Diceros bicornis minor: one gene and its partners. The protein of the gene in region 4 interacts with the protein of the main gene of each other region in a pairwise test. Links are inferred from orthologs where the notes say so. Each region holds a gene or a part of one and is shown on either strand. Other genes may lie near its edges.

Region 1 (7,871 bases), on a different chromosome or scaffold from region 4:
AAGATAGAACTGTTTATCCCTCACAAACCAGTTTACCCAACTTTTCTGATATCGGCACCAACATCTTTGCAGCAACCCACATCCAAACTCTAAGTAATGCAGACTTCTAACTGTGCTTCCTACCTCCAGGCGTTTGTGGGACATGCGCCAAATGAGGTACCCTGCCGCCAAGCCCGGATGATGTCCACACGTAACTACTATCTCCAGGTCTTATCTCCTCAGGATCCTCTGCAGGCATCCTCTGCTGCATTCAGGCAAATGAGGGCATTCCCTGTTCCTATGGAGTTCTCCCACATTCCCCCTCTCTGTCGTCACGGTTCTAAGCATCCTGTACTGGGAATTTCCTCTCTGTCTTCAACTTTCAAAATCCTATAGTTTGCATCATTCAGAGGTTTTGGTTGCAAGAAAGGGCCTCTGGCTACCTTAAGCAGAATAGGAATTTTTCAAAGAATAATAAGTAGCTCACAGCGGGGCTAGAGGAGCTAGGAGAAGGGGCGAGAACCAAGCAGGTTAATGACCTCTATGGGGAAGTTCTGGGATTCTTCCAGCAAAAGCTCACTGAATCTCATCCTCCCTCCTTTTGGCCACCCTCTCCAGGTTCAAAGTCCCGGGTGGGAGGGTTCTATTGGCCAGTCCCAGGCTGTTCACTCTCACAGGGCTTCTGGGAGTGGAGAGAGGGAGGAGCCTACTCTGCCTCCCACCAAGGTCAGACAGGGGCCTTCCTAAAACCAGTAAGGGGGCTGGATGTAGGGCAGCCAAATTATAGTAGCTTTCCAGGTGTCATCTCTCCAGGTCCATTCCTAATGCCTCCAGCTTTCATAAAACCTACAGCCTCTTCTGATTCTCAGAACATATTTCACTTGGTACTTTGCATATTTAGCTTTATATTATGGTATTTGCATACTGGTCTTGCCCTTCCTGTGAGATTAAAAACTCCACTTACCCTTGTTTCTTCTGAATTGACTCTTATAATGCATTACAAATAGAAATATACTAGAAATGTTTAACTGTACTGACGGTTAAGATAGAAGGTCATGGAAAAGCTGATGTGAGTATTTACCATGTGCCAAACCCATAGTTGAGAGATGTTTACATGATCTCATTTAACTTTCACAACTCTTTATGAGAGCACTATTACTACCCGAGGCCCGGAGAGGTTAGATGATCCCAAGTCACAGGCTTGCAGGCAGGCTGTGGGCCTCTGAAGCTGGACTCAGACAGCGCCCTCAACCTTAGCTTGTGTTCTCTGTGACTCCAAGGAGAGGGTTAGAGGAAGGCTTGCATGGAACTCTGAAGAGGAGGGGGATGAGAAATCCCTTGCTGTGTCCCCAGTATAGGAGGTGGAGATTAGTGTGACTAAGTGGGACACAGTGGGGAAAGCAGAGGGACTGAAGCAAGTAGCTTATATTAGGGCAGGGTAAACAACAAGATTGTTAGGGCAGGACTAAGTTCCAGGGACTTTAGAAGGGAAATCTTAGGATTTAATGCCGATGTGATTTGGGGGCAAAAGTTTATACGTTTTGCACTTTCAATACTTCATTACTGAAGAAATTTCAATAGTAAAACAAACATAGATATACTAATGGAGTAGAATGCAGAAACCTCTACATTTTTAGATAAACCATCAGCTTCAAGGAAATGTCTCGCCCATGCTGGGTCTTGTAGTGGGTTGAACGGTAGCCCCAAAGGACATGTTCACCTGGAACCTGTGAATGTCACCGAATTTAGAAAAAAGGTCTTTGTGGAAGTTATAAGGTAAGGATCTCAAGATGAGATCATCCTGGGTTAGGGTGGGCTCTAAATCCAATGATAAATGCCCCTATGAGAGAGAAGGGGAGAGGAACACAGGGGATCTGGCGTGTGAAGACAGAGGCAGAGATTGGAGTAATGTTTCCACAAGCCAAGGGACACCTGGAGCCACCAGAAGCTGGAAGAGGCAAAGGATTCTCCTCTAGAGCCTTCTGAGAGAGCATGGTCCTGCTGACAACGTGATTTCAGACTCGCCTCCAGAGCTCTGAGAGAGTAAACTTCTCTGTTTCAAGCCACCCAGTTTGAAGTAATTTATTAAGGCCGCCCCAGGAAGCGAACATAGGCATCTTAGAGCTCAATTCTTCAGCCCTCCTAGGAGCAAAGGCTCAAGTCCTTTGCTGTCAGAGGACTTTTGAGGAACTGTGGTGAGCCGTGGGGAGCCATGGGAAGTTCTTGAAGAGGGGAGGGGCAAGATAGAAGCAATTTTTCTGAGAGTTAGGAAGACACTGATGTTCAGTATGAATCTGGGGGTGGGAGGAAGTGAGTAACGGGAGGCCACTTGGAAGGCAACGGGTGCAGTGGAAAGAATGGGAGTTTTGGAGGTGAGTGTGTGCAGTTCTCACCCAGCTCTTTCACTTACTAGTTTAGTTTTTTTATCTGTAAAATGAGGATAATACCATCATGTGTGAGTTACAGATGATATATGTAAAGAATTCAAAAAAGGTACACAAGTATTATTAGTAATAAGGTAAAATTTGGATGGTGACATTGGAAATGGAAATGAAGGTACCATCAAGAGATGTTTCAGAATCACCAGGACTCAGAATCATGAGGATGTATGAGATCATAAGAGGGATCCCAAGGTCACCTAGGGTCCTCTCCTGTCTTTGGGGAAAGCTTGGAGAGAGGAAGGGAAGAAATCAAATTGCAATGATTTTTTCTTTCAGAGCTGAGATGCCTGGTAGACTCTTGGCCAAGCCTAAGACCGTGGGAGGAGGAGCTGGTTTAGGAAGCAGGCAAGTTTCATTCTGAATCTGGTGGTATTGAAGAGAGGCTGAGCTGCTCAGAGGGATGGCAGATAAGCTGGGGAGCTCCCTAAGGCTACAGATCTGGGAGTTAATCACTGAATATCCAGACTGGAAGCATACAAAAAATGATCAACTCTCTTAAAAAAAAAAAAAGGTGCACATCAGGATAAAAACAAAGGGCCAAAGTCTTTGGGATATTACTGTTAGATGCTGGGAGAACAACATGGCCTACAAGGAACAGCCATGGGCAGGTCAGAAAGGTAGCTGTTAGATAAATGAAAAGATGACCACATTTCAGGAAACAGCAGAAACGTTATTAAGATAAAGGTTGAGAAACGGACATTGGGTTTCAGATAGAGAACGTCCTTGGTGACCTTACAAAGAATCAGAGACGGAAGAGGGGTTCCAGAACCATGATTCAATGAAAGTTTACAAAGCAGACAAGTTAAAAATCAGGTCAATGTTGTTATACTTATTTTGAGTAAAGTAATTTAAAATTGGACCAGACCATTTACTATAATTCTGCTTTTCTTATTAGTAAGACAAAATCTTCACGAAAGGATGAACTGAGGTAGCTTCTTTCCCAAGTCAAAGAGAAGGAGGCTGTTCTGATTCCCTGTTTTTTGACCCATCCCTGCTCAGTGCCCTGCACCTCCTTCCAGCTAGTGACCTTCCAGCTAGTGTGCCAGGGACTTACAGCAGAGTGAGGTAAATACTCTCTCTCCATTGGCTAGATTTTAGAGAGGTTAAGAAACACCCGTGCAAGGTTCCACAGTTGAAGAAGCAGATAGTCCACACCCTCAACTATGACTTCAAAATTATACTGGCTCTAGTTACCCTCCTTCAATACTTCCTTTCGGGAACAAGGCAGGGGTGAGCCATTCAAACGACACGGCCTTGTCACCTTGGATAAACTGTTATTGCCTTAATAATAATGAGAAGCCGGGAGCCTAAGAAAGAATCTCATTAACATGGATCCAGGCTATTCCGCCAGGAAATCAGAATCATTTGGATAGCAGGCTTCCCTTTCCGGAAGGCCATATGGGAAGGAAGTTGGAGAAGAGACATCTGGATGCATGGGCCTGTGAAAAGGAAACTGTGTCTTTCCCCTTACAATTGGGTTTTAATCTTCCAAGTTTGTTCACAGGTAAGCCACCACGTGTGGCGAGGTGACCAGACCAGTCCCACTACTAGTGACCACTCCTTCTGGGGCCACGTTCCCGCAGCTCCTTACAGGACTGTGCCCCTGTGGGTGAGCCTGAGCTGGACACGACGCAGGGGAGGCAGCTGAGGTTGGGTTCCTCTCGTCTTAAGAAGTGCTTCCAACAGGAAAGATGGAGTAAGAGTGTCTGGTTGGGAAAGTAAATAGATACAAGGCAAATAAATAAAAATGCTCACAAGCAATTACAGAGAGGAAGTGACATTTTTATGTAAGTCACTTTTCTGATGGACAACAGGCCTGCTTTGCTCAGAGTGCCGTGGGAATGCTTCCGGGAGGGGGGCGGTCGCCAAACAACTAGAGCGCCGTGATAAGAAAATCAAACAAAAAGAGGATGGACAGATCACCCACCAGTCCTTTCAGGGTGGAAGTTGCTGTCTTTATTTCGTCTCTTGTCCCCTCACCCCTCCCCGACGCCTACTCCCCGTGCGAGCAGTTTTGGGAGCGGAGACCCGTTCCTCCCCCTGGCGCCCGGGTCTCCCCGGGGCCGGGCGGCCGCGCGCCCCCCAGGCAGGGCATGCGGAGCCCGGTCCCCTCCGGGCGCCGTTCCCGAGCCCGGCCGCCGCGCGGGCCCGGGAGCTGCCTGCACGCCCCCCGGGGGGTCTCGGGCCCCCGCCGGCGCACGGGCCTGGGCCGGCCCCTGGGCGGTGTCACGGCGGCCGGGGAGGAGCGGCGGGAGGAGGAGGAAGAGCGCGGAGGGGCGGGCGCTGCGCGCCGGGGGAGGGGTCGCCGCCGCCGCCGCGGAGATCGTCAGGCCGGAGCCGCGCGGCCGAGCGGGCGGCGGGCGGCGGGGAGGACTCGGCGGCGGGGAGGCTCGGGCGCCCGGGCCGGCGGGGTCCGCCCGGCCGGCAGCGTCCGCCACGCGGCGGGAGGAGGGAGCGGCGCAAACAAAGAGCGGCGCCTGGGCGGGCGCGGTGCGGCCGCCGCCCCGGGACCCGCGCCGCTGCCCTCCGGCCTCGGCGGGCGGCCCTCGGCGAGGTAAGCGCGGCCGGCCGGCCCGGGGCGGGGGCCGCCAACTTGGGCCGCTCGGCAGAGTTGGAGCGCGGCGGGGCTCGCGGGGCGGGGCGCGCCCGGGAGGAGGCTGCGGGAGCGGGTCCCTCGCGCCCCCCTGGTGCCCTCGGCCCCGCCGCGGCCTGGCCCCCGTGGCGGCGGACTGCCCGCGCCTCCCGGCTCCGCACCTTCCCGCCGCCCTCCCAGCCCCCACCCTCCGGGGTCGGCGCTGGCGCCGCCAAGGCAGCGGCCTGGGCGCGGGGTTCCGGGACCAGAGACCCCGGGGCGCGCGGGGAGCGCCCGGCCTGCGGGCCGGCCGCGGGCGCGGAGCCGGGGGCCGGCGTGGGGCCGTGCGGTGGCCGAGGTCGCCTGGGCGAGAGTCCCCGGGAGGAATGGCCGGGGATCGCCCGGCCCCAGCGCAGGGACGCGGGAGGCCGAGCGCAGCCCGGAGAACTTACTGTGTTTATTGGACTGTTTATGACCCCGCACAAAGCTGCTGTCACATCGCATAAAGGAGGTCCTCGCCTCGGCGAAGGGCGCTTTGTGCCGGGTTTCAGGCTCTGCGTCCTGTCCCAGATTTACAGGACTCTCTTACAGCCACCCGAAAGAAAGTTTCTCACAATCGCTCTGCCCTCTTGGTTTATTCAGAGTGATTTAACTACCAAGTGGTTCTGGAAGAATTTGGTGTGTGACTTTTAAGGTATTGACGGTAACTCCCTTGTGAGCGCAGTTATCGGGGCATCGTGTGGAGGGGTTTAATTTGCAAAGCGCTTTCATTTGTAAACAGTAACGATCGCCTTGGAAGGTCCACGCGGGATGCTGGGGGTCATTGGCTGACGAACACCAGGCACCTGACTTTGGCCCTGTAACAGCTTCAGGGACAAAGCAGGAACGTGTGTGTAGTCGGCCTCTGTCACTTCGGACAATTCAGGTTGGCAATTTCTCCTTTATGTGGCTTTGTTTATTTTGCCGACAGGTTTAGGGCTGAATCTGCAAAGTTTGCGTCTGCATAATGGGATGAGTAGGCCCAAGGGCTGGGCCTGGGGAGCCTAAAACATCGCGCATGCCTACTCCTTCGATTGACTCCCCCCAAAAAGACTGAACCCCGAGAGGCCCGTGGGCATGGCTTCCCGCGGACCCACAGGTGTGGGAGCTCCTTCCTGGTCTAGGCCCAGTCCGGCTTTTCGGAAGGAAGGGATTTTGGTAGGAATGAGAGTAATTTGGGGTGTGTTTCATACCACTGCATTTGATATCCTTAGCAACAGTGCTTTTCAAGTGTTAAAGTGACTGAAAATGAAATTAACCTGGGCTGCTTTAATTTATCAAAACATCTAAACTTTGCTACTGAACACTCCCTTAGTTCACTTACCCAGTGTTGGTAGATAAACGGGTATATTAGTAACAGGACTAGAGCATGTGTGGCGTTTATATAGAGAGAATGGTGGTCAGTGGGCAGCTGGAGAAGTGGGCTTCACCGGGAGAGTGGGCTGTAGATGAAGGTTTTTAGGTATTTGGAACAGGGCTTTCCTGAGAAACCAGTGTTAATCATGCTTGTGAAGAAGTGACCACCAGGGAAAATCCTCTCTTAGTGTTTCTCTCCTGGAGGTTGGTTAGATGTACTTTTGATTGAACAAAGTGGCTGGATCTTAGCGATCTTCTGGCTGCAGCTCCTTGAGGCTGAAATTGAGAGCTGTAAGCAGTGGTAAGCTTGTGGAGGTGCCCAGCCCAACTCAGCTTCCTCTCCTGGAGGCCTCACCTGGGCCGCGAGCTTCTCAGCTGCTACATAAACACTAACAGGATTGATCCTGGAACGCAGGATGACATTGAGTCACAAATTGCCACTGGAGAATTGACTGCTCCCTCACCCCCTCTGCCCACTTGTGGAGAAACTGGCCCTTTTAAAATGGGCGGGGCTTGTTTAAGATGCATTTCAAGTAGCTGTACTCAGTTTTCCAGGCTTTGTGTTTTGCTTTATTACATGCTATATACTTAAATTCTCTTCATCCCTGATCTGTTTGACCCTGTCATATTCCCAGCTTCTGTCATTTGCATTGGGGGATTATTGAAGTTTTCCAAGAAACAGTAGGTCTTAAGTACACAGTGTTTGGAAACGCGCTATCATCCATATTAAATACACCGGAAATCTTCCTTGTATGTGCACAAACTGGATAACCTTTCGAAATACCCTAAAGACTCCCTGATTGCCCGGAGTGACCTGGAGTCCTTTACTTGATCACTTGCGTTAGCTTCATTTGCCCTGGCCATGAGGCTGTGTTGCTCTCTGGGACACACATGCTTCAGTGTGCACTGGGGGAGAGGGGGCTCGTGGACACGGTCCTCCAGCATTAAAGATGAGGCTGATTGACTGAAGAGCTGAAGATTGCTTGCTGGAACTGCAGGGCAGGGCGGTGGATGATGTTTGGGAAAACTAGTAAGCTAACTTTTTTCACAAATGAACTGGAAACTCCCCACAACTCATCCAAGAGGCTTAGGAAATTAGTTTTCCCATCTAGAGGGATTGCAAGTGGTGCTTCCAAATTGTTTCTCTTTCTTAGGATGAATGATTGAAACCTTTCATGGCATTTCAAAGGGCCTAAGCTAAAAATCATATCATGTATGTTGTTAAATGCTTGAAAAGCAGCTTAGAAGAAGGTCAAGACAGCCTTTTAATGGGTTATCAAAAGTATGCAGCTAAAGTAAAAATAGTTTTTTATTTCTTTAGGCCATTTAGTAACACAGTTTAAAAAATTAGACTATTTTTTTCTTTTCCTGCATTTCACTTTGAATGGATCCCAAAGTATGTATATTTCTGAAGGTATAATCAACATCAGCAAGTTATACCCTCCCCCCGGCACATACACAGGCATTTGTCACAGTCTGCCCTG
Region 2 (8,019 bases), on a different chromosome or scaffold from region 4:
GTGGGTGAGGGCCTGCCCCCCCTGCAGGTCCCTCCCTCTGACCCCTCAAGCCCTGGGGGCAGCGCCGGTGGGCAGGCAGGTGGAGTGGGCGGGCCCTGGAGCCGTGCCCTCTTCTGCAGCCGACATGAAGCTCGAAGACCTCGCCAAGGAGATCCAGACGCTCAAGAGCCTGAGGCATGAGCGTCTCATCCGGCTGCACGCGGTGTGCTCCGCCTCCGAGCCCGTGTACATCGTCACCGAGCTCATGCGCAAGGGCAACCTGCAGGCCTTCCTGGGCAGTGAGTGTCCACCCCTGCCGCAGCCACGACCCCCGGGCCCATGGGTGACGATGACACCCGCCCCCTCCCCCGCATGGGCCTGTGACGGTGCACCAGGCATTTTTGTTGGGTGCTCGATTGTCCAGGCCCAGAGGGCTGTGGTGGGCTCTGGCCAGCAGGAGGTTCGGGGCCCTGGGTCTGCGTCAGGCCTGGGCCTTGTGGAGGGACAGTCAGGTCTTTGCGGTTCCAGGCTGGGCAGAGTGCAGGCGGGGAGGGCTGGTCCCCAGCCCCGAACAAGGTCAGTGTGGACCCAGCCCAGCCTGTGCCCCTCTCCGCTTTGGCCGTTCCCTGTCCCTGGTCTCCACTGGGGGCTAGGCTGGGTTAGGGAGCAGCTGGCACTGAGCCCACACAGCCTTGGCGGGTGCTGCTGTGCTCCCCCACCTTAGGGAGGAGGAAACCGAGGCAGAGAAGGATGTGATGGGTGCAGACACTTGCCCCTGTCGGTCTCGCCCCGCAGGCCCTGAGGGCCAGGCCCTGAGCCCGCCCCTCCTGCTGAGCTTTGCCCGCCAGGTGGCCGAGGGCATGAGCTACCTGGAGGAGCGGCGCATCGTGCACCGGGACCTGGCCGCCAGAAACGTGCTTGTGGGCGATGACCTGACCTGCAAGGTGGCCGACTTTGGCCTGGCTCGGCTGCTCAAGGTCGGTGCTGGCTGCTGACCCTGCAGGGTGGCAGAGCGGCTGGGGGGGGAGGGTGCCACTCCGTCTACCCCACCCTGGTCTCCCCTTGCCCAGGACGACATCTACTCCCCAAGCAGCGGCTCCAAGATCCCCGTCAAGTGGACGGCGCCCGAGGCGGCCAACTACCGCGTCTTTTCCCAGAAATCGGACGTCTGGTCCTTCGGAGTCCTGCTGTATGAGGTCTTTGCCTATGGCCAGTGTCCCTACGAAGGTGGGCCACGAGGCAGCCCCAGGGAGGAGGCACACCCTCCCCCGGGGGTCGCTGACCCTGGAAGGGAGGGCAAGAGGCCTCAAAGCTTGGCAGGGTCTGGCCAAGGGCTGGGGGTAGGTCTCCATGGTGACCCCCAGGCAGAAGCAAGGCAGCCCCTGTCCTCGGCCCCCTCCTCAGGCATGAGCAACCACGAGACGCTGCAGCAGATCATGCGAGGGTACCGCCTGCCGCGCCCGGCCGCCTGCCCCGCCGAGGTCTACCTGCTCATGCTGGAGTGCTGGAGGGGCAGCCCCGAGGAGCGGCCGGCCTTCGCCGTGCTGCAGGAGAAGCTGGGCGCCGTCTACAGGCGCCTCCACCCTGCCCTCACGTGACCCAGGCACTGGACGCTGGGCTGGGGTCACTCCTTCCCGCCAGGGCGTCCCCCCGGGATGATGTTTACCATCAACACGTACAGGGTGCCAGACGGCCCATCACCAGCCCGCAGAGCCTCTGGCTGTGGGCCTCACGCCCTGACACACACACTGACACACACACCTGTGTGCACAGGAGGCAGACACACGCAGACACCCACTCAGACAGGGGAGGGGCTGACGCCCTCTGCCCTAAGTGACCAGTGTCCCTGGCGAAGGATGAACTCAGCACAGAAGGCCAAGTGGAGCCCGAGTTTGCTCCGGCCTCAGGGAGAAGCCTTGAGCCTGGGCTGCGGTCCCCCTGCCCAGGCCTGCTGCCCTGGGCCTGCTCGACCCCCTCCCAGGGTCAAGAGCGAGGGGTGGGAATTCCCAATTTTCCCCAAAGTCCCCGCATGGCCTTGTGGAAGCAGTGGTGCCAGGGCTCCCAGGCAGACCGTGGGAACTGGCCCCACATGGCACATGCTGGGCGTACGCTGGGGCGTGGCCACTGCCTCCCACGGGCACACCGTTTCCCGTGTGTAGACCTGAGCACACGGGAAGGCAGCACTTAATAAATACGTATTGACTGACTCAGACGCAAGCAGACATGGCTCACACATGGGCCTCAGCCCCCTGAACCAGAACAGGAGCTGGAGCTGGTGGGGTGGGCCCCCAGTTGGTTTACCCTGGCAGAGGGAGAGCTAACCCCCGCGTGGCCCAGGCCCCCACCCCAGGGCATCTTGGCACCCAGAGCAGGTTGACCCAGAGGCAGCACTACCCCTGGGCCATGGGCAGGACTCAGGTGTCAACAGCCCTTTCCGTCTCCCTGGGGCTGGAGCAGAGAGATCGGGATGGGATTGAAGAGGTGGGGGACTGGGTCAGGCCACGGGAAGGTCAGTGGTGGCTGCGTGACCGTTTTTGGGGGTGTGTGACCCTTGAGGTCAGTTCTCTGGGGATGGGGCAAAGGTGAGAGAGGCAGAGTCTGCCTCGTGGTGCTGGTCCTGGTGTTGCCCTGGCTGTGCAGGGTCAGGCGGGGTGGAGGTGGATGCTGCTGGGTGAGGGCTACTGGGTGATAGCTGGCTCTCTGGGGAAAAGGAAGCAGCCCCGATGCATGGCCTTTGGGGTCTCCAGGGTGTGACTGCTCCCGCCGGGCTGAGGAGCCGGGTGGGACGTGTGCTGTTGGTTCTTGCTCAGCCTGCCTGGCTCCCGTCACCACCAGATGGACAATAGAGGGGCGGGGGGCAGGGCAGATGCGGTCTGTGTTTGTGGTCCCTGACCCCCACCCTCCTGGGAGCCCCACGCTGGCAGCTGTGCCCCAGAAGGCCTGTGGGGACTGAAGGGGCAGACCACGCAAGGCCGCCCTCAGCTCACTGTTCCCTGGAGGGAACGGCCGCTGTGTACGGTTTAGGGTCAGCTCTGGGCCCGCTGAGGCCAGTTAGCCCTTCACTGCTGACCCCAGGCCCTGCCCATGGGCTGGCACTGGAGGAAGCTGGGACCCTTGAGTGCAGATAAATGACCCTCCCTGGGGCCACTCAGATGCTCTGAGAACAGTAGGGACTTCCTGGAGGGGAGGGCGGTGGGGGCACCGCAGGTGGGGGCAGCACAGAGGGATGAGGTCACGTCAGGGCCCAGACCAGCCTGGCTGTGGCCCAGGGCCGAGTGGGGAGAGGGCAGGGGCCCCTTGGAGTCTTGGGTATCAGGCTGGGGCTGGTCCCGACCCAGACGGATGGTGGGGGCAAGAGGGTTTGACCTGAGCCCTTTGACCCCAGCAGCCTAGCCGAAGCTCTGCCTTGGCCTGCAGCCCTTGACCCCCTCCATCCTGTCCTGGGAGACCTGAGGGGCCAGCTCTGGCTCGTAGGCTGAGAAGGTGAGGGTTGGAGGTGAGCTCTTGGGTTCTGGGTGTTTCCTCAACACACGAGCAGCAGTGTGGGACCAAGGGGCTCAGCCACCAGATGGGCATGCCTCTGCTTCCCGAGCTGCAGTGCGAGCCAGGGGAGCTGGACGGGCGCCTCCAGGGAGGGAACGTGCTGGGCTTGGCAACCGGCCAGAGAGGTGGGTGTGTGTGGGGTCACTGCCTCATTCCTGGGGTGTCTCATCAGCCACAAGCTGAACAGGTTTAGTGCTCGGGGCCCCTGGGAGGGGCCGGGGACTTTCAGGCTTGAAACTCTCCTGCTTCCTGGTGCCATTCAGGCGGAACCTGGGCACGTCTGTGCCCCGCGACATGCCTTGGCCCCCTAGACATGGGGTCCCGGGCTGGCCCAAGGGCTGAGGGGACAGGAGCGTGTTGGTGAGCAGTGAGAGGCAGGTTGGGGGCACCTGGGAGCTCCCTGGGCCCCAACATAGGGCCCAGCCGTCCCTCTCGCCCCCTCTGATCTCTCCCCACACCCCCTCTGCTGCCCCTTCCCCACGTGGGGCAGAGCTGAGCTGGGCTGCCCATCGTCTATGAACTTGTTGAACGACACATGTTTGGGTCCGGAATCTTGGAGGGAGTGAGTGGTGCCACGGCTGTCTCTTCAGTCAAAGGGAAAGTGCCAGCACGTAGGGTTTAGTATGTGATTTTCCCCTGGTCACTTGTCCTCACGGTCCTCCTGGCATGGGGGCCGAGTCCCTACACCCCCTCTCTGCAGATCCCTGCCCTCCTGTCCTCGGGAGCCCGGCGCACAGGACAGCTCCCATGGAGCTGTTGGGTGGGCTCCGTGGGGGAGGGAGAGGTGCCCAGGACACAGGACAACCTTCGGGGGTGGGAAGAGAAGCAGCCCTCTGGGGGGCTTCTGGCAGTGACTCTGCTAGGAGCTTGCTGTCCGTCTGTCTGTCCGGATCAGTCCTGGCAGCCCTGGGAGGTGTGGGAAGGAATGACTCACCCCTGGGCCTCCGCCCCTCCCCTCACCCTTCAGCTCCAAGACTCACTCCCCTTGGGTTCCACTTACACCTGAGCGCCCATCTGTCTGACCAGTTGCCCTGCCCTCCCTTCCCCTGGGCTCAGGTCCGGCCATGTAGCCTGGGGCGCCTTAGTGGCTGGTTGGTGCACAGGTTTCCCATAGCAGATGTGCAAGAGTGGTACCCAGGCTGAGCTGGCCGCAGTGGGTAGGAGGACAGGTGGGGGCTGCCGGGGCCCTTAGGGTGGAGCCCAGGTGCCTGAGGAGGCCCGGGAGAGCCCGTCCCCAGTGGGCACGGGTGTGGCCAGCCTGACCTGGCAGCCTCATCACAGGGAAGTGGGCCAGCTCCTCAGCTGGGCGGAGATGGCCTGTCAGGGTTAGCACCGCCTGCCCGTCCTGCCAGCCAGCGTGCCGGCAGCCAGCAGAGTGACAGGTGGCGAGGCCAGGTGGCCAGGTCCTGCCGCTGCGCCGGCAATGGCGTCCCAGGGCCAGGTGCACCTGAACCCCGAGTACGTAGGCCTCTGGGACTTTGAGGCCCGGACAGACAAGGAGCTGAGCTTCAGGGCAGGTGACCTCTTCCACGTGGCCAGGAAGGAGGAAGAGTGGTGGTGGGCCATGCTGCTGGACGAGGCGGGCCTGGCCCTGGCCGAGGGCTACGTGCCCCACAACTACCTGGCCGAGAAGGAGACAGTGGAGTCTGAGCCGTAAGTGTCCCTGTGGGCCCTGTGGGTCACTCCAAGGTGCCCCCAATCCCTAGGCCCTGCGGCTCTGCGAGAGCTCCAGGCAGGGCGGCGGTCGGACAGAGCTCCGTGCCAGGTGGTCTCGGGGGAGGGGCAAGCGTGCTGGGCCGGCCCCTGGGAGGCCGGTGAGGGTGGCGACCCGTGGCTCTGTCTCCCTGTGTTCCCCAGTCAGGACTGGACCCCACCGTCCCGGTCCTGGGAGCACTAACTGGGCTTTCACCAAGTGTCATCTGGGGATGGGGGCATGTGGCCCCTCCCCTGGGCTCCCCACAGTCACTTCGTGGTGCCAGGACCCAGAGAGGACAGAAGGGTCCGCAGTGGGCTTCCGGGTGGCTGGCCGACAGTGATGAGGTCTGCGCGGGGGACTGACACAGGAGCATTGGGCCTTTTGGGGAGTGAAGCTTCACTCACCTTCCAAACAACTGAAACCAGATGTGTGACTCAGAGGGAGCGCTCCAGAAGGTCGTTGCGACATGCTCGTCCAGGGCGTGTGCTGAGGCATCTGCTCCCTGTGCCCTCGCAGCTGCCCTGTCACTGGCAAGGTGGCTCCCAGAGGCGGTGGCCAGCTCTGAGGGGCTGCCTAGGAAGCTTAGACCACAAGGCGCAGCCTGGTGAGGGCGTGTCCACGGCGCCCTGAGGTGGTTCTTCCGAGCTCTGGGCGGGGTGGGTCCAGGAGGGACTCCTGTTTCCTGCCTGCACTCCCGTGATCGTGGTGGCTCACCAGCACCCACGTGGACTGAGCACCAGGCTGTGCCGGGAGAGCACGAGAGCATGTGTGGGTTACTCCCACCGCAGGGAGATAAGCAGCAAACAATCACAGTCATAAAGAGGACAGTTTCAGAAGGCGGGGTCCCATGACAGGGATACTGCAGGGTGGGCACGGCTGGTGAAGGCCCCTGAGGCCCTGAGAGCCCAGCGCATTTGAGAAGCAGGAAGGAGGCAGGGGGGTTGGAGGGGTGAGCAAATGGGAGAGACTGGACAAGTGCTGGATCGGTCAGGGGCAGAGTGTGGACTCCCAAGGTGCTCTCACGGGGCAGTAGCCTTCTGTGCAGGTGCCCAAGTTCCAAAGGTGCCTGAGGGAGTCGAGGTACCAACAGCAGAGCAGCCGGCAGCAGGGGTTATGTGCGGAGCTCTGAAGGCCCCACCCTGCAGTCCAGAGTCAAGGGCTCATCCATGCCCTGGTTCTGGGAGCTGGTGTGTGCAAATACGTGTGAGTGTGTGGGTGCATGCATGTGTGTGTGTGCATGCGTGTGAATGTGTGGGTGCATGCGTGTGTGGGGTGCATGTGTGTATGTGTGGGTGCATGCGTGTGTGAGGTGCATGCGTGTGAACATGTGGGTGCATGCATGTGAATATGTGGGTGCATGCGTGTGTGCGAACGTGTGGGTACATGTGTGTGTGCATGCGTGTGAACATGTGGGTGCATGGATATGGGCATGCGTGTTAACGTGGGTGCATGCATGTGAATGTGTGAGTGCATTGTGTGGGGTACATGCGTGTGAACACGTGGGTGCATGTGTCTGCATGCATGTGAATGTGTGGGTGCAGGCGTGTGTGTGTGGGTGCATGCATGTGAACGTGTGGGTGCATGTGTGTGAACACGTGGGTGCATGTGTGTGTGCATGCTTGCAAACGTGTGGGTGCATGCATGTGAATGTGTGGGTGCCTGTGTGTGTGTATGCATGCATGTGAACATGTGGGTGCACATGTCTGTGTGGGGTGCATGCGTGTGAATGTGTGGATGCATGAGTGTGTGTGGGGTGCATGTGTGTGAACATGTGGGTGCATGCGTGTGTGAATGTGTGAACGTGTGTGTGCATGAGTGTGTGTGGGTGCACGCGTGTGAACGTGTGAGTGTATGTGTGTGAACATGTGGGTACATGTGTGTGAACGTGTGGGTGCATGTGTGCGTGTGTGGGTGCATGCATGTGAACGTGTGGGTGCGTGTGTGAACACGTGGGTGCATGTGTGTGCATGCTTGCGAACATGTGGGCACAGGCGTGTGTGGGGTGCATGTGTGTGAACGTGCAGTTGCATGTGTGTGTGGTGCATGCGTGTGAACATGTGGGTGCATGCATGTGAACATGTGGGAACATCTGTGTGCATGCGTGTGAACATGTGGGTGCATGTGTGTGAACACGTGGGTGCATGATTGTGAACGTGTGGGTGCATGCGTGTGAACACGTGGGTGCATGTGTGTGAATGTGTGGGTGCATGTGTGTGTGGATGCATGCATGTGAACGTGTGGGTGCATGTGTGTGTGTGGTGCATGCGTGTGAACACGTGGGTGCATGCATGTTAACGTGGGTGCATGCGTGTGAACGTGTGGGTGGGGTGCATGCGTGTGAACATGTGGGTGTATGTGTGTGAACACGTGGGTGCATGATTGTGAATGTGTGGGTGCATGCATGTGTGTGGGGTGCATGTGTGTGAACGTGTGGGTGCATGTGTGTGTGGTGCATGTGTATGAACATGTGGGTGCATGTGTGTGAGTGCAAGGGCATGTGTGCATTGCCTTTCTGCCTAGATGCCCAACCCAAGGTCCTTGGAGCTGGAGCCCAGTGTCTGTGGCCCGGGTCACAGGAAGTGGTCCCAGAATCACAGAAGGATGTAGTCCCACAGGATGGGATGGCACGTGTCTGGGACGGGAGACATCTGGGCAGGGTGGTGGGAGCCTGCTTCACCTCTTCCTGGTCACGAGGGCCTTTCCTGGTGTCCATAACTGGCCGTTTGGGGTCTATGATGGGCAAGGAAGGGGCCTCTGGGTGGGGGACACTATCAGAGGGCAGCTGTGGGTCTTGCTCGGGA
Region 3 (7,940 bases), on a different chromosome or scaffold from region 4:
GAGGAGGCAGGAGTAGCCAGGAGAGCAATGGGCATCTATCCGGCAGGGTCTGCCCAGGCGCCTGCTCAGTGCTGTGGGCCATTTGTCCTGGGAAGTGAGAGGAGAGGATAAACTGAAGGACCCAAGCCTGTCCCCCTCCTCTGGCCAATCCAAGATGCCCCTTTGGGAAATCCCATGATACAAGCTCTGGCGTGGGCTGAAGGGCACTCACCAGAACAGGATTGCAACAGCTGTAGCTGGCTCCTCCTGGGTCCAGGCAGCAGGCCACAGGGCAGAGCTGACCATCTGGGCACTGTGTTCCAGCCACCAGCCCTGCCACTAAGGCCACCCAGCTCACCAGCGTCCACATGGTCTGCCTGCAAAGTAACAAGAGGCCTTTGGAAACCAGCTTAAGCCCATGCCACCCTTGACTCTGGGGCCAGTCACTCCCCAGCCCCAGGCCCAGGGCTACTTGAGCCTCCCCAGCAACTCCTTGTCCAGGCAGCAAGAAAGTGTGGGGCCTGAGACTCAGCTTCCTACATATGTCCTGTGTGTGTGTCACACGTGCACCAGCGCAGGTACACCCATGAGCATGAATGCTGACGAGTACACGTGTGAATCTCTGTCCCCACCATGTGGCTTAACACCTGAGTCTCTGTGGGTGAGTGTGTAGAGATGTGGGCACGTGATAGGAAGATTTATGAGTTTTGTGGGTCTGATCTGTGGGGATGTGGGCCACCTGTGGGGGGTGGGGAAGGCATCAGTAGCCATAGGAGGACAGGGCTAGGGTGCAAGGAGGGAGTCCCCCACCCCGGAAGAAAAGCCAGGATTCCACTTCCGCAGCCAGCCCCTTCAGATGCCTCCTCAATCAATACTGTGCTCACACCTGCACCCTGCTAAGGCCTGCTGGCGGGGGAGGGGAGGTCACATGATGACATGGGAAACCATAGGGTTGAGAAAGTTGTGAAAAGGGAAGTGCAGTGGCCAGTGGAGTCTCAGCTGCCTTCCCCAGAGGCCAGCCACAGCCCACCCACTGACTGTCCCCTCCCCACCCAGGGAAGGGGACACAGAGGCTGGGTCAGCCTTTGAGACACCTGTGTTCTAAGGACCCCCAACACCACCAGGCCCTTTCAGACTCCCCAAAGATACCACCCTCTTACCCCTGCGTCTCCCCCTACCCTGGAGCCGAAACTCAGCCACAGGTAGAGACAGACCACATGTGCCCACCTGACTGCAGATCCCAGTCAGAAGGAACCGAGCCTCAGTCTCTCCGGGGGGGGGGAGCAGCCTCTCACTTCCTACAACTCTTGCCCCAAGTGCCACCACCCTGCTGGTTGAATAGGGCAGGTCCAGGGGATGTCACGCTGCCTAGAGGGGCAAAACCAAATATGTTTATTGAACCCCTTGGGAGCCAGTTACAACACTCTATTTTCTTTATTCTTTGCAACAACCATCCAAAGTAGTAATTATTACCTTTACTTTTCAAAGGAGGAAACTGAGGCTCAGAGATGTTAAGTAACATGCTCATGTCACATATCAAGTCATGGAGATGACAAGCTTTGATGGCTCCAGAGCATATTGGACCTGGGTTCACCTCACAAGTGGCATGATGGACAGTGCCCGGGAATGGACCCCAAACCCCAGGAGGGAAGAGGCCTGGGGTCCAAGCAGAGGAAGGTGACAGAGGCATTTCCTGGGCAGGTGGACCAGGCAGGACAGACATGGGGAGTGCAGGGGCTGCCTGGATACTGCACTTGGGTCCTCGTCCTAGAATTGCCACCACTGACCGAGAGCGCCTCAAAAGTTGCTCCCTATCTCCGGGCCTCAGTTCCCCACCGAGTCTGTGTGTGGACACAGCACACAGTGTGTGGCAGGGAATCGCACTGGCCCAGGCCCTCACATCCCCTCTCCCTCGCCTGGCTTTCCTCAGGGTCCCCTCCCCAGCTCAAAGACCATCACCAGGAAGCCATCTCGCGGCCAGGTAAGGATGAAGAAGAACAGTCCTGGGCCACAGCCCCATTCACCCTCTCCTCTATGCCCACAGCTCACAGGCAAGGCATACACAGCCGGCCCACCCACTTCTTGGGAGTCCAACCTCGACCCTCCACAGGCTGTCTCACTGCCCTGGCTTAGGCAAGAAGCGATGCGTGTCTGCACAGACCTCGGACTATTCGGCACCCTAGTGATTTATGTATGTATATTTTCCTTCCTGGGTATCCTGAGGTTAGGGAGTATAGTGTATGCATCTACTGAATACGCATGCCCGCACATGCACACACAGGACCAGGGATGGAGGAGGAGAGGCCTAATTCCTCTCAACAGGGTTCTGAGTGGAGGCCTCTCTCACCCCCACCCCACCTTGCCCCAGTAGAGAGCGACGACAGGAGCCTCTTCAAGCCCCCACCTCCGTCATCTTCCACTAGGTGGCACCCCCCAACTCCGATTGCCAGGAGGAGAGAGATTCCCAAAAAGTGAGCCAACCCAACTGCGAGTGAGCAGGGAAAAGTGGCAGGGAGAGGCGGAAGTCAGCTTGTCCCACCCCCCACGAGAGGAAGTAAGGGAGAGCCAGACACAACCCAGGGGTTCAGTCACCACTCCCAAGCCCCTGCTACCTTTGAGGAGGCCAGGGTCTCAAGTCCCACTCCCAGCCCTCTGAGCTCCGGGACCAGGGGTGGGCGTCTCTCTCGCTCCCAGCTGCCGCGGGGACTACCCACCACCACCAGCACCTGCCCACGGGGGAGGAACCGGCTCAAGAATGGAGTGGTCCCTGCTTTGAGGAAGCGGCTGCAGCTTCCGGGGATGCTGGAGGGGAGAGAGCTCCCTTCTAGTGGGGGTCACTGCAATTACTGCTTACTACCACCCCCCATAAAACTCCCTCCAGTGCATCGCAAATCCCCCAAACTCTCTAAGCGACTCTTCCCTTATCTCCTGGCTGAAACTCCGGAGGAACCTTAAGCTTCCATGTCTCCCTGGGCGGGCCCCTGGGAAGGAGCAAGCGAGAGGTGGGCGCCGCCGCCCGCCCTACCTGCGTCAGGGTCGGCGCTCCCTGGATAGCAGGAGCCCGGGAGCTCACGGACTTGGGCCTCGCAGCGCAATGGCCCTCCCACCTCAGTTGCCATTGGCCAGCCGGCCCGGGGTGTCGCGCTACCATTGGCTACGCGCCTGCTTAGAGGCGGGGCTAGGCTGGAAGGCGGTGCTTCTTTCCTACTCAATTCGCTGTCCTCCCTCCCTTCGTTTCTCTCTCGTCACTCCCTGTTTCCAGGGATCATGTGATTGGAGAAGCATGTGATGCCCTAGCCTGCTCCGCCGGGATGGGGGTGCCCGCCTCCCCGCCTTCTGTGGGCGCCTGGTAGAGTTTGCCCGAGATGGAGTAGCGTCTGTCTGGGGACATTGACAGCCAAGGGAGCTGCCCCTTAGAGAGTGCGTTCAAGGGCGTTTACAGGATGTCCGCTTCTGGATTTGGGACATTTGCGCATCCTGTTTCTGTTCTCTTCAACAAACTCAGATTAAATGCTGGCCGGCCAGGCCCCAAAGAGGATGGAAGGAGAGTTGTGAGGGCAAGGATGAACAGCCCTCAGGCACTTTCCTCGAGGTGCTCGCAGCAGGGTGTGGGTGGGTGGAGAATGGAAGACAGGCTCAGATTAAATCTAATTTAAGGTACAAGGGCGTGTGCCAAGTGCTATGGATGTGTATGGGAAGAGGTAGTAGGTTGGCTCTAGGCGGGGAAGAAGAGATTTCGTTCCACCTTGGGGGCACCTTATTGAGCTGAGTCTGGGAGGATTTTAACTGGCAGGTGGGGAGAGGTTGGAGAAGTGGCTGGACAGGGGGTGATGGGAGGAGCGTTAGGAAACCAGATGGGAAGGGCAGCCTTGGGCAGGGATTGAATGCCAAGTTCAGTGTAGTGGACTTGAGGAGCTGCTGTGTGTCTGGCTCAAGGCTGGGCTGGGGTGGGTGCATAGTGGAAGTGGCTTCCTAGTTTCAGTCGGCCCTGCCTTCCAGGAATTGACAGGTCGGGTGAGGAGAGAAAATGTACCACACAGAACAGATTAGCCAGCAACAGGAGGCAGACTGCTCAGTGCCAGAGGGCCTGGCCCAGGCCGAGATGAGTGATAGGAGATGCACGGGGAGAGAGGAGAGGCCCAGAGAAAGCCTGGTGCCTGGGAAGGAAGGGGAGTGTTGGTTATGCAGAGTAGATGGAGAGCGCTGAGAGTGAGGCTGGGGTAGGGAACAAATAGCCACGCTCAGGGGTGGTGGGAGTCTGGGTAGGGAAGCAGTGGCAGGGCTGAGGAATTGAGTGGAAGCAGTGCTCAGCCTGGGGCCAGAGAAGGTCCAGAGAGTGGATAAGGCTCCTGCCGAGAATCAGGACTATTCTGCAGGCTAGTAATATTTGTGCATGTTTTCTTTCCTCTGTATCCCGAGGCAAGAAGGTACAGCTTATGCTTCTATTGACGAAGCTCATATGCACGCGCGCGCGCGCGCGCGCGCGCGCGCACACACACTTTTCATGAAATGTTAGGCAGATCAATAAATGTACCTATTAATCAGAACTACACAGAACAAGAAAAAAAATACACACAGAAAAAGAAAAAAACTAGAGTGACTGAAACAAGTATCACAAAATCCTTAAAGAGGTGATTTGCCCACCAGGGACATTTGGCAGTGTATGGAGATGTTCCAGGTTGTCACTACTGGGGGGAGGTGCATCTAGTGGACAGAGGCCAGGGATGCTGCTAAACTTCCTATAGTGCACAGGACAGCCCCCACAACAAAGATTATTCTGCCCAAAATGTCAGTAGTGCTGAGGTTGAGAAACCCTCTCTAAAGGATCAGAAACTTTCTCCATGAAAGAACTCAAAGTTTTCCTCCCACAGAGCCTCTTTTCTCTTATTTCATATATTTTAAATAAACGTTGTCATCTGATTTCCCAGTAAAAGTAGATTATAGAAAGATCAGGGGATGTATGGGTGGAAGTTTCTAGAAGCAATCACTTTGAGTTTAGCAAGGATTGAAAGCATTTAATAGGAAAAATTGTAAAAAGCAGACTGAAGAACTTAGAAACCCAACATCCCGGGGACACTGAGTATAGGGGGAAACAGTTTTGGAAGACTCAATGGGCCTTACCAGCATTACTCTTAAAGGACAGTAGTTAATAGTCAAAGTATGAACCTGAGCATTCAGAAGAACTTGAATCATATGCAGTTACTCTGATCACTATGGCAAGGAAATGTGGAATATAGTTACTAAACAGCTTCTCACACTAGATACAGGGAACCTCCACTTCAGTGGAGAGGGTACAGTTCCCACGAGGACTGCAGAACATCTCCCACATTCCTCAAGAAATGTTCCAGCGTCCTTAAACCCTCCAATTCAGGAATCTCTCTCCCTCTGCTTTTTGCTTTTAAGGAGGGAGTATCATTTTGTGAATAGGAAAGACTGAAAAGAAACAAACTTCCAGAGTCACAAAGAGATTTGACATCAAAGTGTCTATCCTCATTTGCCCCGTTCCCTAAGCCCTCCCAGCCCCCTTGGCCAGGCCTTGTGATTTTTAATTTTGATATAATCAATTGACTGTAAATGTGAGGGTTTATTTCTGGACTCTTAGTTCTATTCCATTGATCTATTTGTCTGCCCTTATGCCAGTACCACACTGTCTTGATTACTATAGCTGCTTGGCAAGTTTTGAAATTGACAGAAGTGGGAGTCCTCCAACTTCTTTTTCAAGATCATTTTGGCTATTCTGTGCCTCTCAAATTTCTATGCAAATTTTAGGATGAGTTTCTGCAAAGACAGCTGAGGTTTTGATAGGGAATGCACTGAATCTGTAGATCAATTTGGGGTGTATTGCCATCTTAACAATATTAAGTCTTCCTATCCATGAACATGGGATGTCTTTTAATTTATTTATCAGTTTCTTTTTGACAGTTGCCAAGTGTTCCATGCTATAGATGTTATGTAGTTTACTTAACCAGTCTCATTTTTTTTCTTCTCCCCAGTGCCCCAGTACATGGTTGTATATCCTAGTTATAAGTCCTTCTAGTTCTTCTTTGTGAGCCGCTGCCACAGCCTGGCAACTAACAGGCAGGTGGTGTGGTTTCGAGACTGGGAAATGAACCCGGGCCTCCAAGGCAGAGAGCGCAGAACTTTAACCACTACACCATTGGGGCTGGCCATAACCCGTCTCATTTAATGGACTTTTATGTGTTTCCAATTTTTTGCACTGCAAAAACAATTATACAATGAATATTTGTGAACATGTCTTTGAGTGTACATGTGGGAGTTAAATTTGTAAAAGTAACACTGCTGGGTAAAGGGTATGCACATTTGAAATGTTAATGCCCCTCATCTAGCTCAACCCCCTTTCTATGCAATGAGGAAACTGGTGCTCAGTGAGGACCTCCTCTCCAGTCTTGAAAATTTTTCCAGTTTACATTCCCAGTCACACTATTTGGGAAACTTATTTCCCATATACTCACCAACATTGGATACGCCAGTTAAAAAATTTTTTTTGCTTATCTAATGACAGAAGATATTTCCTGGTTGTTTTATCTGCATTCCCTTGACCTCTAGGGAAGTTGAGCATTTTTGCCTATGCTTATTCTGCATATGTATTTCTTCTGTGAATTGCCTGTTCTTATCTGTGTTAGTCAGGGTTCTCCAGAGAAACAGAACCAATTGATGTGTATATAGAAAGAGATTTATTGAAAAGAATTGAGTCACGTGACAATGGAAGCCAGCAAGTTCAAAATCTGCAATGTGAGCCAGCAGGCCGGAGGCGCAGGAGAGTCTGATCGTGCAGATGAAGTCTAAAAGCAGTTGCTGGAGAATTTCCTCTTGCTTGGAGAGGCCAGTCTTTTTGTTCTATTCAGGCCTTCAACTGATTGAATGAGGCCCACCCACATTATGGAGGGCAATTTGCTTTAGCCAAAATTCACTGATTTAAATGTTAATCTCATCAAAAAACACCCTCCAAGTTGACACGTAAATCTAACCATCACATTATCCTTTGTTCACTTTTCTACAGTGTTTTTCTTTTTCTTGTTGGACTATGAGATCTCTTTATATATTCTGGATATTACATATGGTGCAGATATTTCTTTCCAATCTGTCATTTGTCTTTTATCTTTATTTATGGTATCTTTTGCGGTCAGAAGCTGTGTTGTTATGTTATCGGAAATCTAGCAATCAATTTTTTCCTTTGTGGCTTCTGCATTTTTTTTCCCTCCTTGCTTAAGAAGTTATAAATATGTTTTTCCTTGTTCATTTCTATTCCTGCTGCAGCCCCAGCTGAACTGGACCTCAGATACCAGGCTTGTGCTGGATTGAGGCACCGTAATTGACAGGAGGTCCCACTCAGGAGCCTGGCACGGAGAGACCCCTGGATATGTCCCTCTGGCTAAGAGGTTCCTCCAGTCAGCCCCAGGGCTGCTTTCAGAGGTGATGGTCTGGATAAAGGGGTTGGGCAGCTCCCTTCTCTATCCTGTCTTCCACTTTTCTCAGCCTCTCCCTGTTTCTTCCAATCACCCCTCAGTGTTTTCTTCATTCAGAGTTACTGTTCTGTCCACATAGAAGAGTCACAGCTACCCCAGGACAGAGGCTATCTCCCCCCAGGATCTTGCATTGCCAGGTAAAACACAGGATGCCTGGTTAAATTTGAATTTCAGGGGCTGGCCCGGTGGCGTAGCAGTTAAGTTTGCGTGCTCCACTGCGGCGGCCCGGAATTTGTGGGTTCGGATCTGAGGAGCGTACTGACGCACCACTTGTCAAGCTATGCTGCGGTAGCCTCCCATATAGAGTAGAGGAAGATGGGCATGGGTGTGAGCCCAGGGCCAATCTTCCTCAGCAAAAAGAGGAAGATTGGCATCAGATGTTAGCTCAGGGCTGATCTTCCTCTCACACACACACACACACACAATTCAGATTACAAACGAATTTTTTTAGTGTAAGTATGTCCCATGCAATAT
Region 4 (7,405 bases):
CTCTTGAGTATCTAGTCCCGGGACAAACCGTAGGACAGGGGCCAGGGCCCAGCCCCCGAAGTCAGGCAGCTTGCAGTCTGAGGGAACAGAATGTCACGGAGGAACCCAGGTATCATCCTTCTCACTCACAAGTCAACCACTGTATCCTCAGCACTGAGCAGAGCTGGGCATGCAGTAGGTGGTGAAAAGTATTTGTTGATTGACTGACTAATGAATGAATGGGCAAGAGAAGCTGGTCCCTGGGTCCCTGGTCCGTCCTTCCAGTTCTCCTGGCACATGCTACCAGATCACTCTGTCTGAACCACAGCTCAGATCATGTCTTTCTCCTGCACAAACCCCTCTGGTGGTCCCCCATCGCCTCTCAAACTGAATATCCACCTAGCTCTTTTGCCACTGTCCCCTGACTCTCTATACTTTCCCCCACCCATCAGCCCTCTCCCAGCCCAACTCCCCCACCAGCCCGGGCTCCACTTCAGCCCCAGACCAACGTTCTGCTGGAGGCAGGCACTGCAGAAGAGCCAGGCACCTTCTGCTGTAAACCTTTGGTTTCAACCTCAGATCATTCTGCTGCCAGCCTTCCCCTCAGTCAGCTTATTCTTATCCCTCCTCCTGGAATATCCTCCTTAAAGCCCAGAATTGCCATCCCTAAATCTCACCCACCTAGCATGGGGTCTGACAGAGTCAGCACCTAACAAATGTTTGATGGATGGATGAGTGAATGAACTAACGAATGAAAGATTCATCTCAGATGACATCTCTTCTGAAAAGCCTTTGCTAGGCTGTAAGATCGGATCCACACACTCCCTCACTAGAGCTCTCCTTCTAGCACATGCCTTACAGGACCATATGGTGCCCACGTTGTGCCTGACTGTCTTCACGTCAGGCGGCACCTTGAGCCCAGGGACTACATAGCTTTGGATTCCATACACTACTGTGCACTAAGGTCCCCAGGAAATGTTGTTGGCATTAAATGGAATCAAGCATCCTTGGGGATGATCTTCAGTTTCTCCACCTGTGAAATGGGCTACTACTTGCTCTACTAGCTTCCGCCTGTACTGGCTGTGAGGCCCACCAGACACACTGCCTGGCTGCAGAACATGGCCACACTGGGGAACCCTCCTACAGCTTGGACAAGGATTAGACTCCTGCGCCTGGGCCTGAGGCTGCCAGGGTCCTGGGTCAGCGTTGAGTCCCTCCTGGCTGTGGTGGGAGCTGAAGGGGCTGGAGGGTGGGCACTTCTATCTCACCATCACTTGGGGCCTCCCTCGAAACCTGGTGAGAACGTGTGAGATTGAGTTTGGGGCTGAAGAGTCTCAGGGGACACTCATCCACTGGGCAAAAGAAACCCTACCCAGTGGCGTCCCTGCTCTGTGTGGTCTCTGCTCCATTTTCTTCTCTCCCTTCAAACCGGGACTCCTTGTCTCCATCCTCAGACTGCACTTTCTCAGGAACTGACTGAGGCAACCTAGGGAAGTTCCGCTGCTCTGCTCAGTGAGGGCCTGGGGACAGCCAGTCTTATCAGAGACGCTGGGTCTTCTACTAGCGGGAGCAGTGATGCCAGAACCTGGGCGGGAACCCAGGTCACCCACCTGCAGCCTGGCCAGCTGGGGCTCTGGGCGTGGTGAAACAGGTTCTGGCTGGCCCGGGCCCGGAGAGCAGTTGGAGGAGGGAGGCTGAGGGGCCCGGTGCACGTGGAAGGCCACGCTGTAGGCCAGGCCCCCGCAGTGGCGGGCCGTGGGGTCCGCGCTGGCCTGGAGCAGAGCCAGCCTGCCGCAGTAGCGGTACAGGTCCTTGTGCTCCCGCGCCGACAGGTTCATGCGGGGCTGGTCTGGGCGAGGATAGATGGGGAAGATGGCCTCGCCCACGCGCTGGGCTGCACTTCCTGAGGCCCCGCACAGCCTCAGTGCCTCCACCCTCAGCTGCGCGTCGTGCTGCTCATCGTTCTTGCAGAACCCTGGTGAGGAAACACGGGGTCAGAGAGTCTATGGGGTCTCCTTGCCTCCCCTGGGGGATAGGGAGGACAGCCAGGGCCCTCGGGAAACCTGGGCTGCCTGGCCTTTGCTTTGAAGTCAGGCTTGGCTAAGATTTCCCCGGTGGGTGACCCCCTCTCAGGCCCCACACACGGCTGGCTCCCTTTACTGAAGGGGGAGAGGGGGGCTCTTAGCCTGTGAGATGGTTCTGGGGAAGAGTTCAACCTGTCCCTGATCTCTGGTCACCGGAAGGCCTGGGACTTGGTTTCCCCATTCCCTCATATCCCTCCTCTTCCAGGAAGCCTGCCTGGATGGCCTCATAGTCTAGGCGTGGATCTTCTGCTCCTTCCAGATCACTTAACTATTCTGTTTGGGATTCCTGCCTCTCCACCTGATCTGGAAACTTCCTGAAGGCAGGGCCCGAGTCTCCACCTCTCTGTCCACCCTCCATACTCACAGTCCAGTGGTTCTCAGGGCTGGGCACTCAGGGTGCTGGCTCTAATGTTACTCAGTGTGACGTCCAGTGGGACTGGCCCCACCTGCTGTGTGCTTAGCTTTTGTAAATTCACAAAGCCATTCGTCATCTGTCCTTTCACTTCCTCCTCACCCAACCCTGTGACCAGCATCAGCGTCCCCATGTCACACTGACGGAGGAAGGGGCTCACAGAAGGCCAGCGTTTTCCCAAGATCACACAGGCAGAGCTTTGGGATTCAGTCTAGAGCTCTGATGCTGCCCCTCCCGGTGTCCCTGAGGCTCCCTGGGGTCCCTGACAGGGCTGGGGCAGGAGTTGGAGGGTCCTTCTCTCCCCTCAAACCCTACCCTTGCTTCATACCTTTGGGCAAAGTAAAGATAAACTTGTTCCTGGTGAGGGTGAGGCTCTGGCCAGGGTCCTGCTGCTCAATGACATCGGTGACAGCAGAGCAGGTGGGGAGGGGGTCCCCATCATTTACCTGCAGCTGCACACCAGCCCCAGAGCTGGCCTGCAGGGGGTTCTCAGCTGACAGCCGCAGGGCGTATCTGCCCTCCTCATTAAACCCCACACTCAAGACCTCGAACTCCAGGTCCAGTGTCTTCTCCTCGGTCTTCAGCCTCTGGCTCAGCAGGGATGCAGGGACCCAGGGTTCAGGCCCCCTGAAGGCCATGGCCATATCGGGGACTGACCCCCCCTGGGCTGAGCACTGCCCCTTCCTGCCCACAGTCTCAGCCTGGGCCCAGTCTGAAAGCCCACACGCTGGGTGCTCAGGGCCACACCCCACCCTTCTCTGTTTGTTTGGGGAGAAACCAGGTAACAAGCCAGGAAGCTGATTCTGTCCTGGGTAACAAAGGCAGCCATTGATCTGTCCCTTTTAGCATTTGTTCATTCAACAAATATTTATTGAGCATCTACTATGTGCCAGGCACTATTTTAGGCATTTGGAATGCAGCAGTGAATCAAAGATTTCCTGCACTTCTGAAGCTTATCTTCTAGTGGGGGAGGTAGGTGGGAACAGATGAAAATAAGCACTAAATATAGAAAATAAGTAAATTGTAATATATGCTAGAAGATGATAAGTTCTATGGAAAAAATTAGAGCAGGGTCAGGGATGAGGAGAACTGGTGTGAGGAGCACATGGGTATGGGGTAATCAGGACGTCCAATTTTCGGGAGAGCCTGTCTCCACATGCCTGTTCATTCCCAAGAGTTCTTGAGTTGGATGGGGATGGGATCTCAAGGGGAGAGGGACAGTGTATGTTCCTTGGGAGCATGCCCTTAGCACCTGCTTCTGGAACCAGTGTACCTTCTTATTTAAAACTCACAATATGGGGCACAGCTTCACTTTACAGAGAGCCCAGAGCTTCTCATACCAAAGAGTTGTCAAGCTGGAACCCATCCTTCCTGATCCTGGGTCTTGCTGATACCCAGTTGGGGAGGGGAGATTCTAGACACTCCTTAGTAAGAACCATCTCTACCATCATCACTATTACCACCACTATTACCATCTCTACTATCACCATCATCACCACTACCACCACTATCACCACGATCACCATCACTACCATGAGCACCACCTTCACTATCACCAACACCATTACTACCACCACCACCACCACCACCACCATCACCACCACCATCACCATCACCACCACCACCATCACCATCACCATTACTACCACCATCACCATCAGTCACCACCACCACCACCACCACCACCATCACCATCACCATTACTACCACCACCACTACCACTACCACCATCACCATCACTACCGCTATCACCACCATCACCATCATCACCACCATCACCTCCATCATCATCACCTCTATCATCATTCTCATCATTATCCAGTATCATCATCAGCATCATTTATGATACTCATCACTGAGCAGCTATTGAGTGCCAGGCACTCTGCATGGCTCTGTGAGGTAAACATAATTATCCCCATTATACAGGTGAAGAATCTCAGGCTGAGAGAATCTCAGATCACGTGGCTAGCAAGAAGCAGAGCTGAGATTTGAACCTAGATATTCTAAGTCCATCTATACTTTCCCCTACTAAACATGTCCTGGGACTGGCTCAGAGATTGAAATTCATACTATTAGGGGCTTCTGTACCCTAAGACTGTAGAAGTACAGTTCTGAGTCTGAAGAGTACATTTATGGACAGCATAGATTTCATTCAAAAGAGTTCACTTGAAGTCACCTTGAGTAGAATGCGTCATTTTCATAAAGTAAGAAATAACCAGTCTAAAGATGGTATTGGCCAGCCCAGCTAAGCGCCCCAATGTATATGGGAGTCTTCCTCTGCAATGATGGCGATTCAGTGTCTTCAGGTCCCCCAAGGAGAAAATGAGGCAAACAGGCTTTAAAAGACCAGAGTTCTAGTCACCTGACTTGCAGATCCCTTTCCCTCTCTGGGTGTCAGTGGCCCCATCTGCACGATGGGTGGAAGTCGAGTGGCTAAGTCTTCCCACAGCACCGGCAGTCTGAAATTCTCTAAGTCATATCGGGAAAGGCCACAGTCTGGCCATTTGGGGAAGAGGTTCCAGAGGCTCCCTGGAAACCTTTGTCTCAACAGCTAGGCCTGGCCCACCAGCCTAGGTCCTGAGGCCATGGTTTGCCTCTGCTAGGTCTAAGGTCTTGGAGATTCAGTGATTCAGTAAAAGTGGCCCTCTCCCCTTGCATGTGTGAAATCACCCCCAGAGATGTTACAAGATGGAAGGCAGTCTCTCTGTCCTAGGGCCAACCTCTGTGCACTGCACCCAGCCCCCACCCCTGCAAGCCGGTCCCATGTACACAACCCTTCTTCCCAGTCTGTTTATCTGAGCTTGGAAGATAACACCTCCCTCTTCCCCCCTTGCTCCCTTCTTTCCCTCCCTCCACATTTCTACAGAGGATCTGAGGTGATTGTGTTGGTCTTAGCATGTTTTGAGGGCCCTCCACAGCTGATGCCCCCACGCTTCCCATTGCTAGCCTCCCCTCCCCCACTCAGTCTCTGGGAAAGGCTCATTTTTTTGGTGGGTGTGTATGGTTACTTTCTTAAAAATTGTGGTAAAATATACATAACATAAAATTTACCAGCTTAGCCATTTTTAGGTGTGCAGTTCAATAGTGATAAGTATATTTACATTGCTGTGCAACCAGGCTCCAGAACTCTTTTCATCTTGTAAAACTGAAACTCTACGCCCATTGAACAACTCCCCATTTCCCCTCCCCCAGCCCTGGCAACCACCCTTCTATTTTCTGCCTCTATGAACCTGACTACTCTAGGCACCTCATATGGGTGGAATCACAAAGCATTTGTCCTTTTGTGACTGGCTTATTTCACTCAGCATAATGTCCTAGGGAAGGCTCACTTTTGCCCCAGGCCAGGCCTGCCCTGTCTCCCCTCCCTGCCTTTGCTGGTGCTGCTTCCTCTGCCCAAACTGCCCAGCCCCACCTGATGTCCTCCAGACGGGCTAAAAGGCTCCTCCTCTGGCGCCAGAGTAGTATCTCCCTCCTCTGCCACACTCTGTACCTCCCTCTCCAGTCTCAAATGATGACTTGCCCACACTCGACTGAACATCCCTTCAGGGATCATGTCTGTGTGCCCAGGACAGAGCTGGGCAAGGGGTTGGTGCCTGGAGGACTGTTAAAGCATTATAGAATGAATGAATGAATGAATGAATGGAAGGATAAATGAATTGATGGACAAACCAAACCCAGCTTCTGCTTGTGCAGAAAAGAATAAGAACTGGTTCTTTTGGCTATTTTATCTGGATTCCATCTGTGAGAAGTGATGACCATACCTGGACTCAGATGCATCTTGGTGCCTAGGTGGGCAGGCAGGTCCCCAGGAGGGAGGGCAGCAGCATGGGGGTAAGTGGCAGGGCAGGAGGCAGTAGTTCCTAATGCTCAGGCTTCTCCAGGTCTAATCTCAGTTCCACGGAGAAAGTCTGAAAACCTCAGTGAATTTTAGCAGGTCAGGGCTGGATAGCACTCCCATTTTATAGGTGGAGAAACTGAGCCCAGGATAGCAGAGCAGGACCAGATCCTTACTGCCTTCCCAGGATTCCCTCCACTCCCAGCTGCCTCCCTGATTCAGCCTCCTGCAGTTTTCAGAAGGTTTAAACTCCAGGCAGAGGCCTGGCTCCCACAGAAGGAGTCAAGAAGGGGCAGGGTGTGGGGTGAGGAGAGGAGACGACAGTGCTGACTGTAAGTGGACTTCTGCAGTCCCAGCATGAAAGGCCTTAATGGGGCCCTCAGTCTTCTTTCTTCCCCAGAAGAATGGCCACTCAGAGTCCGCTGGCTTTGTCTGGAAGAGCCTGGGGTTTTAATTAGCCCACCCCAGAGGGCCCCCTTCCTGTTTCCCACAGTGGCTCCTTTCAGCCTCCCCTGCTGACACTCCCCAGGGCTCCTGTGGGCCCTCAGACCCCCAACCTCAAGGACTCACCTCCAACTTGCCCCACCCCACCCCACTCCTGGCCTCTGCTCAGAGCTGAATCCTCCTACAGGGACATCTGTGAGTTCACTGGATGCTCCCAAGGGCCTGGGAGCTGGGACTATTATCCCCTCCTGCAGATGGGGAAACAGAGGGGCAGAGAGATCTGGTGGGTGAGTGAAGGGGTGGACCTGGACCTCAGGTCTCCTGATTCCCAGGCCAGTGTGATCATGTGATCATCACCGCTCCGCACCGGGACTTCCACGTCCAGGCCCCCTCCAGCAACCTCCTCCCCACAGTGGAACCATCCCAGGCGCACCCCCTCTCCCTTCAAGCCCACAGCGCCAGAAGCTTACGGGGTGATAGAATCACAGACTCAGACTGGCGAAGTGCAGCCCAGCGGCCAGCGTCTCTCCATTGCACAGACGGGAAAACTGAGGCCCAGAGCAGGAAAGGGCCTCATTTTTGGTCACTCAGCTGGTAAGTGGTAAAGGCAAAATGAGAAGCCTGGTCTGCTCCCTCCACTGATTGTGGTGG

Evidence for each region.
Region 1: the proteins of CCDC33 (region 4) and NCK2 interact in a two-hybrid assay, tested with the Homo sapiens proteins (2 studies listed by BioGRID). The two-hybrid records come from large-scale screens. The link is inferred for Diceros bicornis minor from reciprocal best matches to the Homo sapiens genes CCDC33 and NCK2.
Region 2: the proteins of CCDC33 (region 4) and PTK6 interact in a two-hybrid assay, tested with the Homo sapiens proteins (2 studies listed by BioGRID and IntAct). The two-hybrid records come from large-scale screens. The link is inferred for Diceros bicornis minor from reciprocal best matches to the Homo sapiens genes CCDC33 and PTK6.
Region 3: the proteins of CCDC33 (region 4) and GRN interact in binary tests that used the Homo sapiens proteins (3 or more experiments, as listed by UniProt). The two-hybrid records come from large-scale screens. The link is inferred for Diceros bicornis minor from reciprocal best matches to the Homo sapiens genes CCDC33 and GRN.

What each region holds. Positions count from the first base shown.
Region 1 is NC_080779.1:7,989,361-7,997,231, reverse strand, and holds the start of NCK2 (cytoplasmic protein NCK2), read left to right. Parts: upstream 1-4,792; 5' UTR 4,793-4,974; intron 4,975-7,871. UniProt on the Homo sapiens protein: Adapter protein which associates with tyrosine-phosphorylated growth factor receptors or their cellular substrates. Maintains low levels of EIF2S1 phosphorylation by promoting its dephosphorylation by PP1.
Region 2 is NC_080758.1:663,166-671,184, forward strand, and holds the start of PTK6 (protein-tyrosine kinase 6), read left to right. Parts: upstream 1-4,918; 5' UTR 4,919-4,945; coding exon 4,946-5,175; intron 5,176-8,019. Other genes in the region: tyrosine-protein kinase Srms, read left to right, coding at 120-278, 775-956, 1,050-1,206, 1,384-1,577. UniProt on the Homo sapiens protein: Non-receptor tyrosine-protein kinase implicated in the regulation of a variety of signaling pathways that control the differentiation and maintenance of normal epithelia, as well as tumor growth.
Region 3 is NC_080757.1:42,918,581-42,926,520, reverse strand, and holds the start of GRN (progranulin), read right to left. Parts: upstream 3,076-7,940; 5' UTR 3,005-3,075; intron 1,348-3,004; 5' UTR 1,207-1,347; intron 357-1,206; 5' UTR 350-356; coding exon 212-349; intron 88-211; coding exon 1-87. UniProt on the Homo sapiens protein: Secreted protein that acts as a key regulator of lysosomal function and as a growth factor involved in inflammation, wound healing and cell proliferation. Regulates protein trafficking to lysosomes, and also the activity of lysosomal enzymes.
Region 4 is NC_080744.1:67,225,482-67,232,886, reverse strand, and holds the start of CCDC33 (coiled-coil domain-containing protein 33), read right to left. Parts: upstream 3,120-7,405; coding exon 2,804-3,119; intron 1,955-2,803; coding exon 1,590-1,954; intron 1-1,589.